Mus musculus: one gene and its partner. The protein of the gene in region 2 interacts with the protein of the main gene of each other region in a biochemical or structural test. Links are inferred from orthologs where the notes say so. Each region holds a gene or a part of one and is shown on either strand. Other genes may lie near its edges.

What was found.
Region 1: the proteins of Satb1 (region 2) and Pias1 form a complex in vitro, tested with the Homo sapiens proteins (2 studies listed by BioGRID, with this or other methods). The link is inferred for Mus musculus from reciprocal best matches to the Homo sapiens genes SATB1 and PIAS1.

The regions. Positions count from the first base shown.
Region 1 is NC_000075.6:62,888,759-62,895,857, forward strand, and holds part of Pias1 (E3 SUMO-protein ligase PIAS1), read right to left. Parts: coding exon 7,073-7,099; intron 4,502-7,072; coding exon 4,371-4,501; intron 3,549-4,370; coding exon 3,368-3,548; intron 1-3,367. UniProt on the Homo sapiens protein: Functions as an E3-type small ubiquitin-like modifier (SUMO) ligase, stabilizing the interaction between UBE2I and the substrate, and as a SUMO-tethering factor. Catalyzes sumoylation of various proteins, such as CEBPB, MRE11, MTA1, PTK2 and PML.
Region 2 is NC_000083.6:51,828,189-51,835,874, reverse strand, and holds the start of Satb1 (DNA-binding protein SATB1), read left to right. Parts: upstream 1-3,227; 5' UTR 3,228-3,405; intron 3,406-6,124; exon of another isoform or gene 6,125-7,686. UniProt on the Homo sapiens protein: Crucial silencing factor contributing to the initiation of X inactivation mediated by Xist RNA that occurs during embryogenesis and in lymphoma.

The DNA.
Region 1 (7,099 bases), on a different chromosome or scaffold from region 2:
CCAAACCAAACCCAAAAATCAAACCACCCCAAACAAAATGAAAGAAAAAAGGAGGAAGAAAGAAACTTAAGAACTGACTTTGAGTTATGACAGTCCTAAGGAGATTTATGCACCACTCCACACAACCCCTAACCATGAAAGGCTAACAGGCACAGAGGAAAACAAAGTAATGAGAAAGGGAAAAATATAGGCCTCTTCACTCCGAATGCAGTGTGTGTTTGTGCACTAGAGTAGTACACAGGTGCTACAGCATGCATACACAAGGAGGGCTGAGAACAGCTTCCCCTGCCTATTCCTACACTACTCATGGATATGCTGGGCCAGATGGCTTATGAGTGTCAGGGCTTCTCCTGTCTCTGTCTGCCTTCTTGATTTAGATATGCGTGGTACTTGATCTGGCCTTCCACAGAATCTGGGGAATCATCCTGCTTTTATAGCCAGTACTTTATCCAGTGAACCACATCCCCTGATCTTCTATTTCCAATACTCCATGTCAGGTACTTGTAGGTGGAGGTACAAATTTAATGGTAGAGTACTTCAAATGACACAAAGCTTACATTTCCAGGAACAGAATCCTAATTATAAATATGCACTATACATTTCTGAATGGAATAGGTGCTGCACAGAAGTGTTTCAATCAGTGTGAATGTAAACCTCTAGAAAACACCACGTTCCTCAGCTGTGTCCTTGTCTACGCTTAAGAGATTCTAACAGGAGAAAGCAGCTGACTGCTTGTCTTCACAAACACCTCAGTCTAGCAAACAGTATGGAACTTCTGGGTGAATAGAACACTCAGCGAGGTGCTACAGTACCGGATTCTTTCCAGTTGTGGACGGCTGCCTGTCTTCTATTTGTGAATGCTCTCAAGTATTTCCTTGTTATAATGCACAGCGGCAAACGACCTGCTGGGCTTCATGCTACAGCTACCAGCTGGTTGCCACTGTGAACACTTACAGTGCTCAGATGCAGCCATTCTTTTAAAATGCTGGAGACATACAGGTTTTAGCTACATATCCACAGAGGAGGCTCTGGCCTTTGCAGAGCTGTATTTAGGCTCAATTTATCATGGGCAAATCAGGAAAGTAGTTAATGCAACTAATATAATTTTCCAAACATAATAAACAGGGCTATTTTGGGAAGAACTATAATAAATATTCAAAGAAAAAATATTAGATTTCTAAAGACTCCAAAATTTTCCTGATTTAAAAAAAAAAAAAACTCAGATAGTAAAAATACTGCAGAGTTCACATATGACTATTTTGACAGCCGTAAAATTAACTCTAGAGTATTTATATACTTGTTTTTTAGAAAGTATCATTTTTTTTCAAAAGAACGTATCTTAATTTTGCAATCATAGCACAAAAAAAAAATAACAATACAGTTGTCTCCTGATTTCTTTGGGAGGCTGAAGATATCCAGATCCACCAAGGTCACATTTTGTCCCTCATATGTCTGTCATAGAATTCATGTGTCACCTAAGCATTCCATCTGGGTCTCTAGGTTCTTCAGAACACTTACTACGTTGAAATCATCATCATCAACGTTGTCTTCACTACTATGACTACTAATATTATTGGACAGGATGTCATCTAGTCCAGGTGGCCCCAAACAGTCTTATGAGTGATGGGGTTATGAACAACATGATGGGAGGCTCCTGGGAACCACAGACAAGTCTTCAAAAGAGGACTACTTCAGGGAAGCCCAAGTCACTGCAGTTCTTTCCTGCACCTCACACACATCTGCAGCCAGTTTCAATGACCTGGTGTGTCCAGCTTTCCACTGTAAGTGCTCTACTGGAATTCATTTTACAGCAAGTAGGTTCCAGTTTTTAAGCTAATGTTCTAAAACCTACAAGCAGCAAAAATGAAATCTAATCTTTGTGGGTTTTGATCCAGACAGGAGCTGTGGAAGGCACTTCATTGGGCCTCCTCACATTCAGAGAACATCAGTCTTGCTCTATTTCCTAAGAGCTAACTAAGGTATCTGAGCACTGTGCTGTCCAAGTCTGGGCTGGGCATGAAGGCCAGCAGAGTGGCAGAGCACCGGAGTTCACAGGAAGAACTGTACTGTGTACACTGAACAAGTCCACTTGGGGGAGGCTAGTGGCTCAACTGTTCATGCGGCACACACTCTCAACAGGATGGCTGCTACCAGACTAAAACTGGACAATGACTGTAAACAGATCCTGAAAGGAGAGCAACACCTCAAATATGAGGAAAGGACATCTTTTTTTCTCCTCCTCCTTCTTCTCCTCCCCCTCTCCCCTCTCTCTCTCTCTCCCCTCGCCCCACCCTTTCTTTCTTTCCTAAGAATGGGTTTCATTACATTTATCAGGTTGTTCTGGAACACACAGAGATCCATTTGCCTCGCTATTGCACTTGCTATTAAGTCTGGCAATCAAAGTTTGACACATGGTAGAGGGAGAGAACCAATTACTGAAGGTTGTTTCTGACAAGCACATACATACAAATAAAACAAGTCTTAACAAAACAAAACAACCCTGGTTAAATGCAAAACAAAAAAAACAAAAAACAAAAAAAACCCAAACAAACCCCAAAACCAAACCAAACCAACACCCAAACCCTCTTGGTGATCCTCATGTGCATCAGAACTGCTAAATGCAGCAGAGTCATCTCTTTAAAGACTGCGTGAGTGTGTGTGCACCCTTGGAAGCCAGACGGTGTCATCAGATCCCCTGGAGTGGAAATTACAGGCGGTTGTGAGCCACCATGTGGGTGCTAGGAACTGTGCATAATACACCAAGTACTCTTTTTTTTTTTTTTTTTTTTTTTAAGATTTTATTTTATTTGTGATTATACTGGGGGAGTATACTGCTTGTAGGGTTGCCACTGGACAACACTAGCCTTGCGGAGTCAATCCTCTCCTTCCTTTGGCTTCTGGGGAGTGACTCTGGGCCTTTAGCTTTGCCCAGTCACTGCTTGTGGTCACTGAGCCCTGGGATTCAGATCTTTGTGAGTACATTGTTGCTGTATTCAGACACACCAGAAGAGGGCACCGGATCTCATTACAGATGGTTGTGAGCCACCATGTGGTTGCTGGGAATTGAACTCAGGACCTCTGGAAGAACAGTAGGTGCTCTTAACCACTGAGCCATCTCTCCAGCCCCACACCAAGTACTCTTAATTGCTGAGCCATCTCTCGAGGCCCAGAAACATCTCTTGATATGATGAATCCTATATACAAACTCTTGGAGAACTCTACTCTACTTCATCAAAAACACAACATCCCTAGGAGAGTCCATCTCCAGTTTGTATTCACACACAATGGTTTACTTGGCAGCCTTGACCCTACTTTGCAGATGAACTTTCATACATGAGTGTTTTGCAAAGGTTCTAGCAGCACTCACCCTTTATTACTTAGTGGTGACGTAGGAGACAGGGAAGGACAGGTCCTCTTGGCAGGGGGTTCTTCCTCCTCTTCATCTGACGAGCTGTCAATGGTTAGGTCAATGACCTCGACTTTCTTGTTTTTATTTGAGGACTGGTTGTGGGACGCTACCTGATGCTCCAATGTGGAGCTCAAGCAACCTGTGCAAGAATGATTAAAACGCAAGACCCGTGTCAATCCTCTTCTCCCAGTGTCCCTGCAGACGAGCACATCCACTTAGCAAAGCAACACCACGGGGTAGCAGAGCGATGTAGTAAGGTAGCTCTGCTTTACTGGGTTTAAAAATGGTGGCATTTTTATTGGTTGTTAATCAATTATTTGAAAAATAATTTTGAATTAGAATAATCAAAATATATCTTAACGCCTTTATTACTCCAATAATTCTGGAGGCAGAGGCAAAAGATCTCTATGAGTTCAAGATCAGCCTGGTCTACATAGTGAGTTCCAGGACAGCTAGGGCTACATACATCTTTTATATCTACTTTAGAATAAAAGTAGTTTTAGAGCAGGATTGTGTGTTACATGTTTTTCTACACAGCATCTAAAGTACCTAGAAAATACTGGTCCTCTCCTAGCAAATCACCAAAGTCAAATCTATCCCCACATATACGAAAATATTTAAAGAAAAGTAGCTGAGTATGGTGCTGCACACCTTTGGTCTTAGCATTCAGGAGGCAGAGCCAAGCGAATACAAAATATGAGACTCCAAAGTCTAAAACAAAACAAAACTAAAGGAAAACAAAAAAAGAAGAAAAAAAGAAAATCTAGTACCATAAACATCTTAAGGCTTGCAAAAAGTTGATTTAAAAGGAATCCTGCTATTTGTGGACATTTAATCAATAACCTAAGAATTACTGAGCTATTTGCACTGCTCAGTAATTTCAACAGTCTGCATTTCTATATTAAAAACCATGGTGTAGCACAACAGCAAGCAACCACCCAGGCCAAGGGAAGCCACTCACCATCAACTCCATTGTAGGAGGCAGTGACTTCTTGAACCTCCTTCTTTGACCTCATTGGAGCCCACGAGCCATCCTCCTTAAACTGTATCTCGTCACAGTCTGTGCAGTACTTTAGAATTTCCATAAACAACCTAGACAGACAATAGAACATGTTTTAAGTGAAGAGACATGAGAACCATAATTCAGAACACTTAGATCACAGGTGTTTTATGAGAGGTAAATGGAAGACAGGGAAGTAGAGCAGACAAACTACATTCACCCTCACACATGCGCTACACGGGAAACAGTTTACATAAAGATGCCATGGAACCTGGAAAGAAACGACAACTTAAAAATATTTCTTTAGTTTGTGCTATATGGGTGGGTAGGTGCCACAGTGCATATGTGGAGGTCTAAAGACAACTTGTATGAGTTCGTTCTCTACTTCCACCCATGGGTTTTAAGTCTTAAACTCAGGCTGTTGGGCTTGGCAGCAAGCACCTTATCTCATCCCCAAGAGTTTTAAGGATACAGAAAAATGTTCACAAAAACTGAGGTGGTTAAGGAATAACATATCTCAAAACAAGATTCTGTGTGTGAATAAAAGCACACACTAATGATCTCTAGATGGTAATTTTATATACATTCAATTTTTTCTTTATACTTTATATTCTATATTTGCAAATTGCTAAAAGATCTTATCTGATAAACTGAAGGGATATATATAAAAATGTCTAACCAGTGCTAGAAAGATGGCTCAGTGGTTAAGAACACTGTTTTTCCAAAGGTCCTGGGTTCAATTCCCAGCAACCACATGGTGGCTCACAACCATCTGAAATGGGATCTGATGTCCTCTTCTGGTGTGTCTGAAGTAAGCTACAGTGTACTCATATACATAAAACAAATAAAATTTTAAAAGATGTTCAACCAACAGTTAAATCCAAATAAAATATACTGGTACTAAAAGTTATTAGTAGCATATAATCAAAATTTATGTAAAAACTAAACTAGAAGTTTTATTAAAAATGCCTTTTATTTCCTGTTCTGTTTTTGAAAGAGCGAGAGAGATCTGTATTATAAGAAAAGGAAGAACTAAGATAAATACTATACAGAGGTGGTAAAATATTACTATTAGTCTAAATTTATAAATTAGTTATCATTTCATTTCTGAAAAATCTAACAGGAAACACTACTTCCTCATATTCTCCCAAGACTCAACATTTTTAAAGCTCTGGGTTGTAAGTCTATTGACAAATACATTCAATTCTTGTATTATTGTCTTCAAGGCTCTTATGTTTTCTCATATACTATAAATAATCTGTCTTGTTTGAGTATTTTGCTGAAGAATACTAGAAATATTAGGGAGGCATTTTTCTCTTTTCACAATGCATTTCCTTGTTTCTTGTTCAGTGGCAAAAAGGCAACCAGAAACCTAAGGGGAATGGCAGACTCAGGCAAATATCAACAGGTCAAGACCAACAGACAGATGGCTAAGAAGGAGAACCTCTGCTCACTGTGTGCAATGGTGAGGACAGAGACCGAAAACACAAAAGGGGAAAGGCAAGGCTAGAAACAGAAGCTGCAGAACAACAGGAACTGCTATCAGCTGGTTGTCCTTGGCTGGGAGCCCTGACAGTGGACAGAAGTGGCAGGGCTTGGTGGACAGGACAGAAGCCAAGCTTCTTCTAAAAAGCCCAACTTTGAAAAGAACCTGTAGTATTTACAAATTGCTTAAATTATTTGTGTGTGTGTGTGTGGGGGGGGGGGGGGTATGTGCACATGGAAACCAGAAAAGGTTATCAGATACACTGGAGCTGGGAACTGAACTTGGGTGACCTATAAAAGCAGTATAGCTCTTAACTGCTAAGCCATTTGTTTAGGACCAAAAGCTATTTGTTTGTTTATTTATTTACTTATTGGATGAGTTTCAATTGCTAGAATCTCAAAATTTGATCATGCATCCTCTTAATGCATGCACTTTGTAGGTCTTAGATGTACTCAATACACACACACACACACACACACACACACACACACACGTATATCGTCTGCTTAGAATTACTGCTTTAAAATAATAAACAGAAGGTGCTGAAAAAAAAGAGGAAAAAGCATGTGTTTTCACAACAAGTAGAATATATACAGCCATAAATAAAACCAATGTTAAAAAGTATTTTAAAGGGCTGGAGAGATAGCTCAGCAGTTAAGAGCAATGACTGCTCTTCCAGAGGTCCTGAGTTCAATTCCCAGCAACCGCATGGTGGCTTATAACCATCTGTAATGGGATCTGATGCCCTCTTCTGGTGTGTCTGAAAACAGCTACAGTGTACTCATACAAAATCAATCAATCAATCAATCTTTAAAAAAATGTTTTAAAGATGGGAGAGACACCAAGATGGTGGAAAGGTTCCTGCCACTAAGCCTAACAGCCCAAGTTTGATCCTCAAAATATAGATGGTAGAAGAAAAGAACCAACTCTCCAATGCTGTCTTCTAACTGCTATATGTTTACAATGTACCTTCCCAAATAAATGTTTTTTAAAAATCCTAAAAGATGAAAAATATTTACAATACTAGTTACTCACTTTTAGTTACTCACTGATTTCTAGAATAATGAAAATTCCATAAACAAACACCTTTGAAAAAATTACCTCTAGGTTTTATCTCAAACCTGATGGCAACAAACTTGAATAGCAGAAAAACAAAAAGAGATAGAAACATACATACCCGTCAATAATAAGGTGTTCATATGGG
Region 2 (7,686 bases):
TGGGAACCAAACTCACGTTGGGTAGGTTTGGGGGCAAACACCTCTACCCACCACAGCCCCAGGCAACAGGCATGTTCAAGGCTGTACCACAGTCAGAAAGGGAATTTATCTTTCTCCTTGACTCAAGGCCTTCACTCAAATCAGTTATCATTTCACATTCTCATGCTGCTTATTCAGTAAGGCTAATCCTGTTTTATCCCTTTCCTTGTATGTAGTGTAGAAGGCAAAACTGTACTCTCTCTCTTCTGAAAAGATCAGTGGCTATTGATATTAACTCCTATTATCTATATTTTGATATGTTTTAGATCTACGTGTCTGTCAACTACTTACACTACATTTGGATTTGTTAGAAAAATGAAATCAGGGGCTTTCGAGATGTCTCGGGGCTCTGGAGCACTGTGTGTTTCTGAAAGACTCGGGTTCGATTCCCAGCACCCACGTGACATCTCACAACCATCTGTAACTTCAGTCCCAGCGGATGTGATACAGATCTCTTCTGAACTCCCCTGGCACCAGGCATGTAGATGATGAACATATACACGTAGGCAAAAGACCCCCCCCACACACATACACATAAAATAAGATGATTAGAAGTATCTTTAAACATAATTATACCACTTCATGCTGGATCCTATAGCAAAATACCTTAGACCTAGACACTAAAAAGGTGTGTGTGTGTGTTTATGCCACTTTAGAGTGGGTGCCTATAAACTTAGAGTTTGTAGATACTGCCTGTTACTGACTGTTAGGGATGGAAAGGAAGGAAGAAGAGAAGGAAATCCAGGCTGTTGGAAGCAAAGTGAGACCTTACTCTAAATGATGGGATTTATCTGATAAGCTGAATTACTAGGTAAGCATATGAGCGTATAAAAGAGGAAATGTTAATGCATTTTTGGGCTTCTGTTGTGCTCCAATTTTATATGTTCACAATAATAATCAGTAAAGGCTAAGCTTGCAGAGCCTCCATTCTCACCTGCCCTGCTCAGTGGGGACACTGGCACCTAGTTAGACAAGTCCCTACTTTGGCAAATCAAGGCAAGAAAATTTGAAGTCACCCAGGACTTGAAGGGAAAAACCTGAGCCAGGAAGAGAAACTCATGTTTTATGTTGTTTTGCTCTTTGTAATCACCCATAGCTTCTTGCTTTGCTTTCCAGGGGGCTCGTTGGCTTGGGGGTGGGGGGGCGAGGAGGAAGAAGAAGGGGAGGAGGAGCAGAAGGGGGAGGAGGTAGTTCCCCAAATGAAAATTAGTTCATATTTGTTTATGTCCTTATGCCTTTGGCATGGTATTTTGAATTATAAAAAAAAAGTTGAAAAAATTGGAGAATTCTAGGGAAATCAAGGATGGACGAGGGGGCTCTCAGAAAGCTGCCTGAACTATGTCATTTTGCTTCATTTAGAATGACCTCACCAAAAAAACAAAAACAAAAACAAAAAAAAACCAAACCAAACCAAAAAACAAAACACAAACAAAAACTCCCACTGCACCGTCGACGTGTTTGCTACCAAGGCTCAAATCGCTAGTCACCCACCGTGTCAGGCTTGATTCATAGGCAACCGACAGAAGAGGACCTGACAGAGCTTTTAGGAAAAACTGAATTCTCAGCCCACAGTCACTTTCCAGGAACTTGCCTGCAAACAGCTCTGCGCTGGAGGGATGGAACTCCCAGCAATCTCAATCCTGCCACCCTGACTGCCTTCGCTCCACATACAATTATTTATGGGGACTTAATGAGAGAGCAAGCCTTATGTGAAAGAACGCAAGAAAGTGCAGCTGCTAAAAACAGACCCAGGCAGTTCTACAGTCCTTATTTTTACAACTGAGCTTCTGCAATTCCTGCCACGAACCTAACAGCTCCACTCCTTGCCAAACACACAAAGAGAAAAGTAAAAACTGTTTTCGTTCTGCAACCCCCTTAACTTCGAGTAAACAGTAGTAATTTTCTATCGTCACGTTCAATGCAAATTTCCCAAAGGCGACACAACAGGAAACAAAAGACCTGTTAGTTGATAGCTTCCTTAGAGCTGGGGGTTGTGTGGGGAAGGAGTAGCAGGGGAGTGGGTTAAAGTTGATAGAGTCCAATTTCTCCCTAGCTTGGGGGTCCAAGCCTTCAGCTACTTTGACCTTTCAGAGTTCTTTGGAGCTTCACCAGTTGAAAAGGTCCCTGGGCCCAGCCTCCCCTCCTACGAAATCCGCATTTCTTGACCTCTTTGCCCCTGCTTTTGGGTGGGTCAGGGTGGGAGAAGAGACTTGGACAGTGGCTTAAGCATCTCCTTCTGGTTGGGTGCGTCGACCTACAGCTGCCGACAGGAAAATGATACTGATGCAAATAGCTGGGGTTGAGAAGGGGGTCTGCAAGAGGCCCCCTCCTCCTCCATCCACTATGTGTTCCTCAATAGGGGTGCCCAAGAGAAGAGGATAGCAAGAAGAGCCCATCAGTTTGAAGGGAAGGAGGTCCCCTCTAGGAAAGATCTTCTCCATCAAACATTGAAGAGAGGGGAAAACTTGGCCCGCATGCCCCTACTGGGGAGCGACACACCCCACACAAGCTGGCTTGCGGGGCGCGGGGGTTGTGCTCAGGCCTCTCACCTGACTTCCTCCTCCGCTGGCACACACACACACCAATGCCCCGCGCTCTGCACCCCCAAAGCCCAGGCAAACAACGACAAGAGGAAGCGGCGGGCGGCGAGGGTGCGCGGCGGGGGCGGTGCAGGTGAGGGCCGGGGCGGTGGGGCTCCGGGGCTCGCCCACACTTACCCTGGCGGCCGCGGGGTCGCTCTCCCGCAGCGACCCTGCACCCGGGCGGCGCTCAGGGATGTGGCGGCTGCGGTGGCTCGGGCTCGGCTCAGCTCGGGCTCCACTGCGCGCTCTCGGAGCCACCGGCCGCCCAGGATCCTGCCGCCAGGGGGAGAAGCGGCCGCGGGCGCGGGGGAGGCAGGCCGGGCCCGGTCGCTCCCGCTGTGGGGTCCGCAAGCCCCCCACGCGGGCGAGAGGCGAGAGCGCGGCGCCCCAGGCACGCACGGCCCCCGGCCAGCGTCGGGGGGCTCTCGTGGGGGCGCCCCGATCGCCCGCGCCGCGCTCTACACTGCGGGCTCCGAGCGGCTCCCGCGCCCCCTCCCGCGCCCCGCCCCGCCCCCGCCCCTTCCCTTCCCCCTCGGCCCCGCGCGCTCCCCGCTCGCTGCTCGCCGCGCTCTGCCCCCTTTAAACGCCCACTTCGGATGGGGAGAGGAGACAACTTGAAGTCAAGTTGCCATTAACTTCCGCGGCGGCCGCCAGCTCGGCGGCGGGGAGGTGGCAGCAGCTGCAGCCGCCGCCCGGGAAGTCCGCCGCCCGGCGCGCCCGCGCGGGGAGCCGACCCGGCCTCGGCCCGCACCGCTGGCCCGCGCTGTCCCGGTTCCACGCCTGAGTGAGTCCCGCTTCTTTGCTCCCTGCCAGTGCTGCTCCCGCTCTGGGTCTCTTGCCCGGCTCGCCTCCGTTTTCTGCGGATGCGGAACCGATCCAAACTTCTCAGTGGCCCCGGCTGGGGCGACTCTGCGCCCCTCGCGTGCCGGGGTCTTGCTGGCCCTTCTCTCGAGCGCGCTCAGACATTCGGGAGGACTGGGCTGGTGAAGTGAGGGTCATGGCCGGGATGCGGACTTACTTGGCGTCTTTGCCTCTCCCGCACACCTGCCCGGCAGGAGTCCCTCGTTAGACACTTTAGTCCAGGTCGTGGGCATGGCCCGCTTTAGAGGACGAAGGCGGCGTGGGGGGAAGCCCTCGGCGGGCGAGTGGGGAAAAGGGAGCCGCTCAGTGAGCCCCGGTGCGGGGAAGGAGGCGAGGTGCGGGGTGGAGTTGGAAAGGTCGCGCGCCAGATCTGGAGTTCACTTAGCATCCTCTCCCATCTCATCTCCCCCTGTTCTTTCCCGGCCAGCCCTACTTTGCTGGTGGCGAGCGGAGGTGGAGAGGGGCCTGGGAAGTTTGTGGCAACTTCTCTATCCCGAGAGCCACTCGGGCGCTGGGCGCTCAAGTTGGAGCCCAGAGTTTGAGAGCCGAAGAACAGCGCTCGTGCAGCCCACGCCGGCGATCGCGGGTCGGTCCTGGAGGGTGATTCGGGTTTGGGCTTGGGCGGGAAGCCGAGGGAGGTACATGGTGTCTTAGCTGGGACTGTGGCCCCACAGGTGCAGCCCAGGGGGCAACTCCTCATTTCCCTGCGACAGTACACACCCGAGAGCGGCGGCCTTCTACAGTGTTCCTCCATTGCAGAGCTCCCAGGGTGGCCGAACTGGGGTTGGGCAGCTCGAATGCAAGGGACTGAGGGGGCAAGCGGCAGGTCCAGATGGTGACACGTGCGTGTGCTTGGCCCAGCAAAAGGCGCTAAACAGGTCCCTTCTGGGATGATCCCAGAAGACCAAGAGGACAGCAGCTTAGAGCTCAGGGTAGAGGTTTTGACCCTGGCCTCCACCAGGGCCAGGTTTTACTTAACAAGATGTCAACCACAGGCTCATCTCTTAAAATGTCCGGTTGACAACTTTGACCTCTGCACCCTTTCTGGGAGAACTTTCTCTGAGGCATGTAGGATTCCCAGGGTTAAGACGTGGATTTCACTTGTCCATAGGGACCGGAAGACACCCAATTCCCTGGAGAGAACCTTTTCTGCTCCCGATTGATTGGCTGGGGTTCCATGTTTGTATCCTTGGAGGCCAGAGAACCCAACTTTCCCAAGACAGAAGAGGGGAATGAGCAAGAGTCTGGTCTCTTTCTGCCAGAAGTCAGGTTCTGTCCTTAAGCAGTACCTGGATTTTTTACAGTGTTTGTGCCTGGTGACAGAAGCTCAGCCTTCCAAAAACTTTACTTAATTTTACACCTTGTCCAGAGTGGATTTTCTGAAAGAGTGAAATTTTATTTTGTAGTCAGATTCTCCAGATAGGTAGGTAGGTAGGTAGGTAGGTAGATAGATAGATAGATAGATAGATAGATAGATAGATAGATAGATAGATAGATAGATAGATGAGTAAGTTATGCCATACTTTAAATCCAAAGAAAGCAAGGGTTGCGGTGCTGGCTCTATAACCCTTTATGAATCTCCCATGTGGAACTCGGGCTATGACTTAGCAGCGGTTCTTTATTTCTATGGCATATTATTTTTGTAGAACAGTAGTAAGCGCATACACTGCCTGCTCCAGTCTGCTGGCAAACATTAGCATTCAAGCTTACATTTTTGACAAATGTGCAGACAGGAATAGCATGAATAGGCATCTTAAATATTAACAACCCAAGCATCTGTTGTGAAACAAATTTAATATATTTACTCAGTCTTTCTCACATTGTTAGGAAAGGTTATAATAAGTGCTTAATTTCAACTTAACTTAGCAGAAGTAACTGGCGGCATCATTCACTACCTCCCAAGCTCTAACACAGTTACCACGCAGAAATACTTTAATTAACTTGGTTAAGGGCATTGTTAAATAAATACATTTTAAGCAATGTGCATACTATATAACATGCAACAGTAGCGAAATAGTCATCCCGTTTGTATGCATTTTAAATGACCTCATCTTATAAATATACCAAGTATGTTTAGTCTTCATCTCTATTTGACACTTATTAGTTCATTTTTTTCTAATGGAAACAATATTTTAAATGTAGAGTTGTTCAGTCATATGTAATACATAATATGTAAACAGTAGCAATAAAATACAGAGCATTGTTAAATTTGAATATGGCTACATGTAACAAGGTTATGCAAGAGAAATAAAATCACTGCTCAATTTTGTTTTCCTTTCTGAATAATGAATACAGATGATGGATGAAAAAGGAACAAATAGGGATTTCCTCCCTGAAGTAATAGCTTCTTAAAATGTATGCGAGGTAGGGGAGGGAGAACAATGATAAAGACCTAAAGAACTTCCCAAATCCACATAGCTATTTCCAGAATCAATGCATTCCTTACTTTCCCACAAGCTGAAATATGTAATAAATAATAGTTCTTTGTATGTAAAAGTATTCAAAAGGAATGCCTTTTGTTCCCTTGTAATAAATTAATATATTCTTCTTTGGTTGATAATCTACAAAAGTAGTTCCTTGTCTCTTTGGCATTTTCAACAAAAGCAACAACAAAATGAATATTGGTTTATTCTTCAAAGAAGTCTGTTGCCAGCTATATGAACCTGTGACTGAGTAAGATATGATGCTGTTGAGTGATAGCTGAGAAACACCACAGTAAACTAGCAGGGTCTGAAAAATCTAGGAGGGAATCTCAATGCTTTTTTTTTTTCATGTGACAGGTTGTGGGTTGTAAATTAGGCCTAAAAGGTCAGGTGACAGGCACCTGTTCCTCATTATTGTAGAAAGCTTTTGGTTACAAACAGTGTTAAGCTAAACATAACATGGGTATGTAACAGGGATTCTCTAAAGCACTCCAGTAGTTTTTACCTACTCTGTAAATGTCTAAACAGGACATACATAGATAAGCCCTGTGTACAAACACTCCATTTCTTCCCTACATGTTATCTTGTATGATTGCAATTAATATTATGTTAGTACTTGTTACTGATGAAGTACATAAATGAATATGGCTACATCAATCTTCTAATTATGTCTAGATCATTGTAGTTGAATGCAAAAAATTTTTTTTCTTAAAAACAACCCTCTTTTTCCTTTGCAAATTATTGATTATGTTCATGTTTTACCTGGAAAACCTTGCCAAGTGGCCTTTTATACATTTTAGATGAATTCTCATTTAAAATGATACCACAGAATATTTTTTCTCAGCACCCATATATGAGGGGAAAATCAGCTGCTACATATTGCAGTAGCTTTGTGCCATACATAAACCAGAAAGAAAACCACACTGTACAGGAATGTAGGGAGGCTCTTCAGACCTGGCTGTTCTCTTGGGAGTATTCAGAGTTCTTCATATTGAAAAAAGAGAGCAGAGCTTAATCCCTATAAGTGGTTTCCTTTTACATGTTCCAGAGAGCAAACTGTGCGTGTATATGGAAAAGACCACACTAGCAGAAGGTGACAGAATATTAGAGGTGCCAATTGCTTTTAATTAGCAGAGGAGGAGGATTTTGAGTAAAGTAAATAACTCAGGTTATTCAGTTCTGTTATTAAAATATGTTCTTTATCCTTTTTGCCTTTAAATAGTTTGTGCTTTTTATATGAAGCGCTCCTTTTTAGTATTTGCTCTTGAAATTGATTCGGTTCTCATATTCCAAAACTCTGTGATGATTCTTTATTTTATAAATTGATTTACATTTTGACAGAATAGAGTTAAGTTAATTAATAGATCAGGCACAAAAAAAAAATAACCCACAGTAGGGTATATTTTCTGGTAAAATGAAAGTTATGTTTCAGCACGATGAGCATGAGGCTTCAGTAATCTGCTCCTCGTGTGCAATGAGCACTTCCTACTTCCAGCTAGCAGGCACCTACTGTTTATTTACGCTGCATTAAACTGACAGCTCAGCAATCAGAGGAAAAATATTACTTACCTTCCTGAAGTAAATACCAGTTTATAGGTTAGTGCACGTATTTATATTCCTGTCACCACTAAATAACGGCTCTGTCTCTGTTTTAATATCTACCTGGGCTGTAACCCAGGGATTCACACTCTTCCTGGCTGGGAAGAAGGGGTCGACAGGAGTTTTTTCTTCCCAGTCCCTAGTGGCAAAACTCTAAAACAGAATCATTTCACATTCTCGTT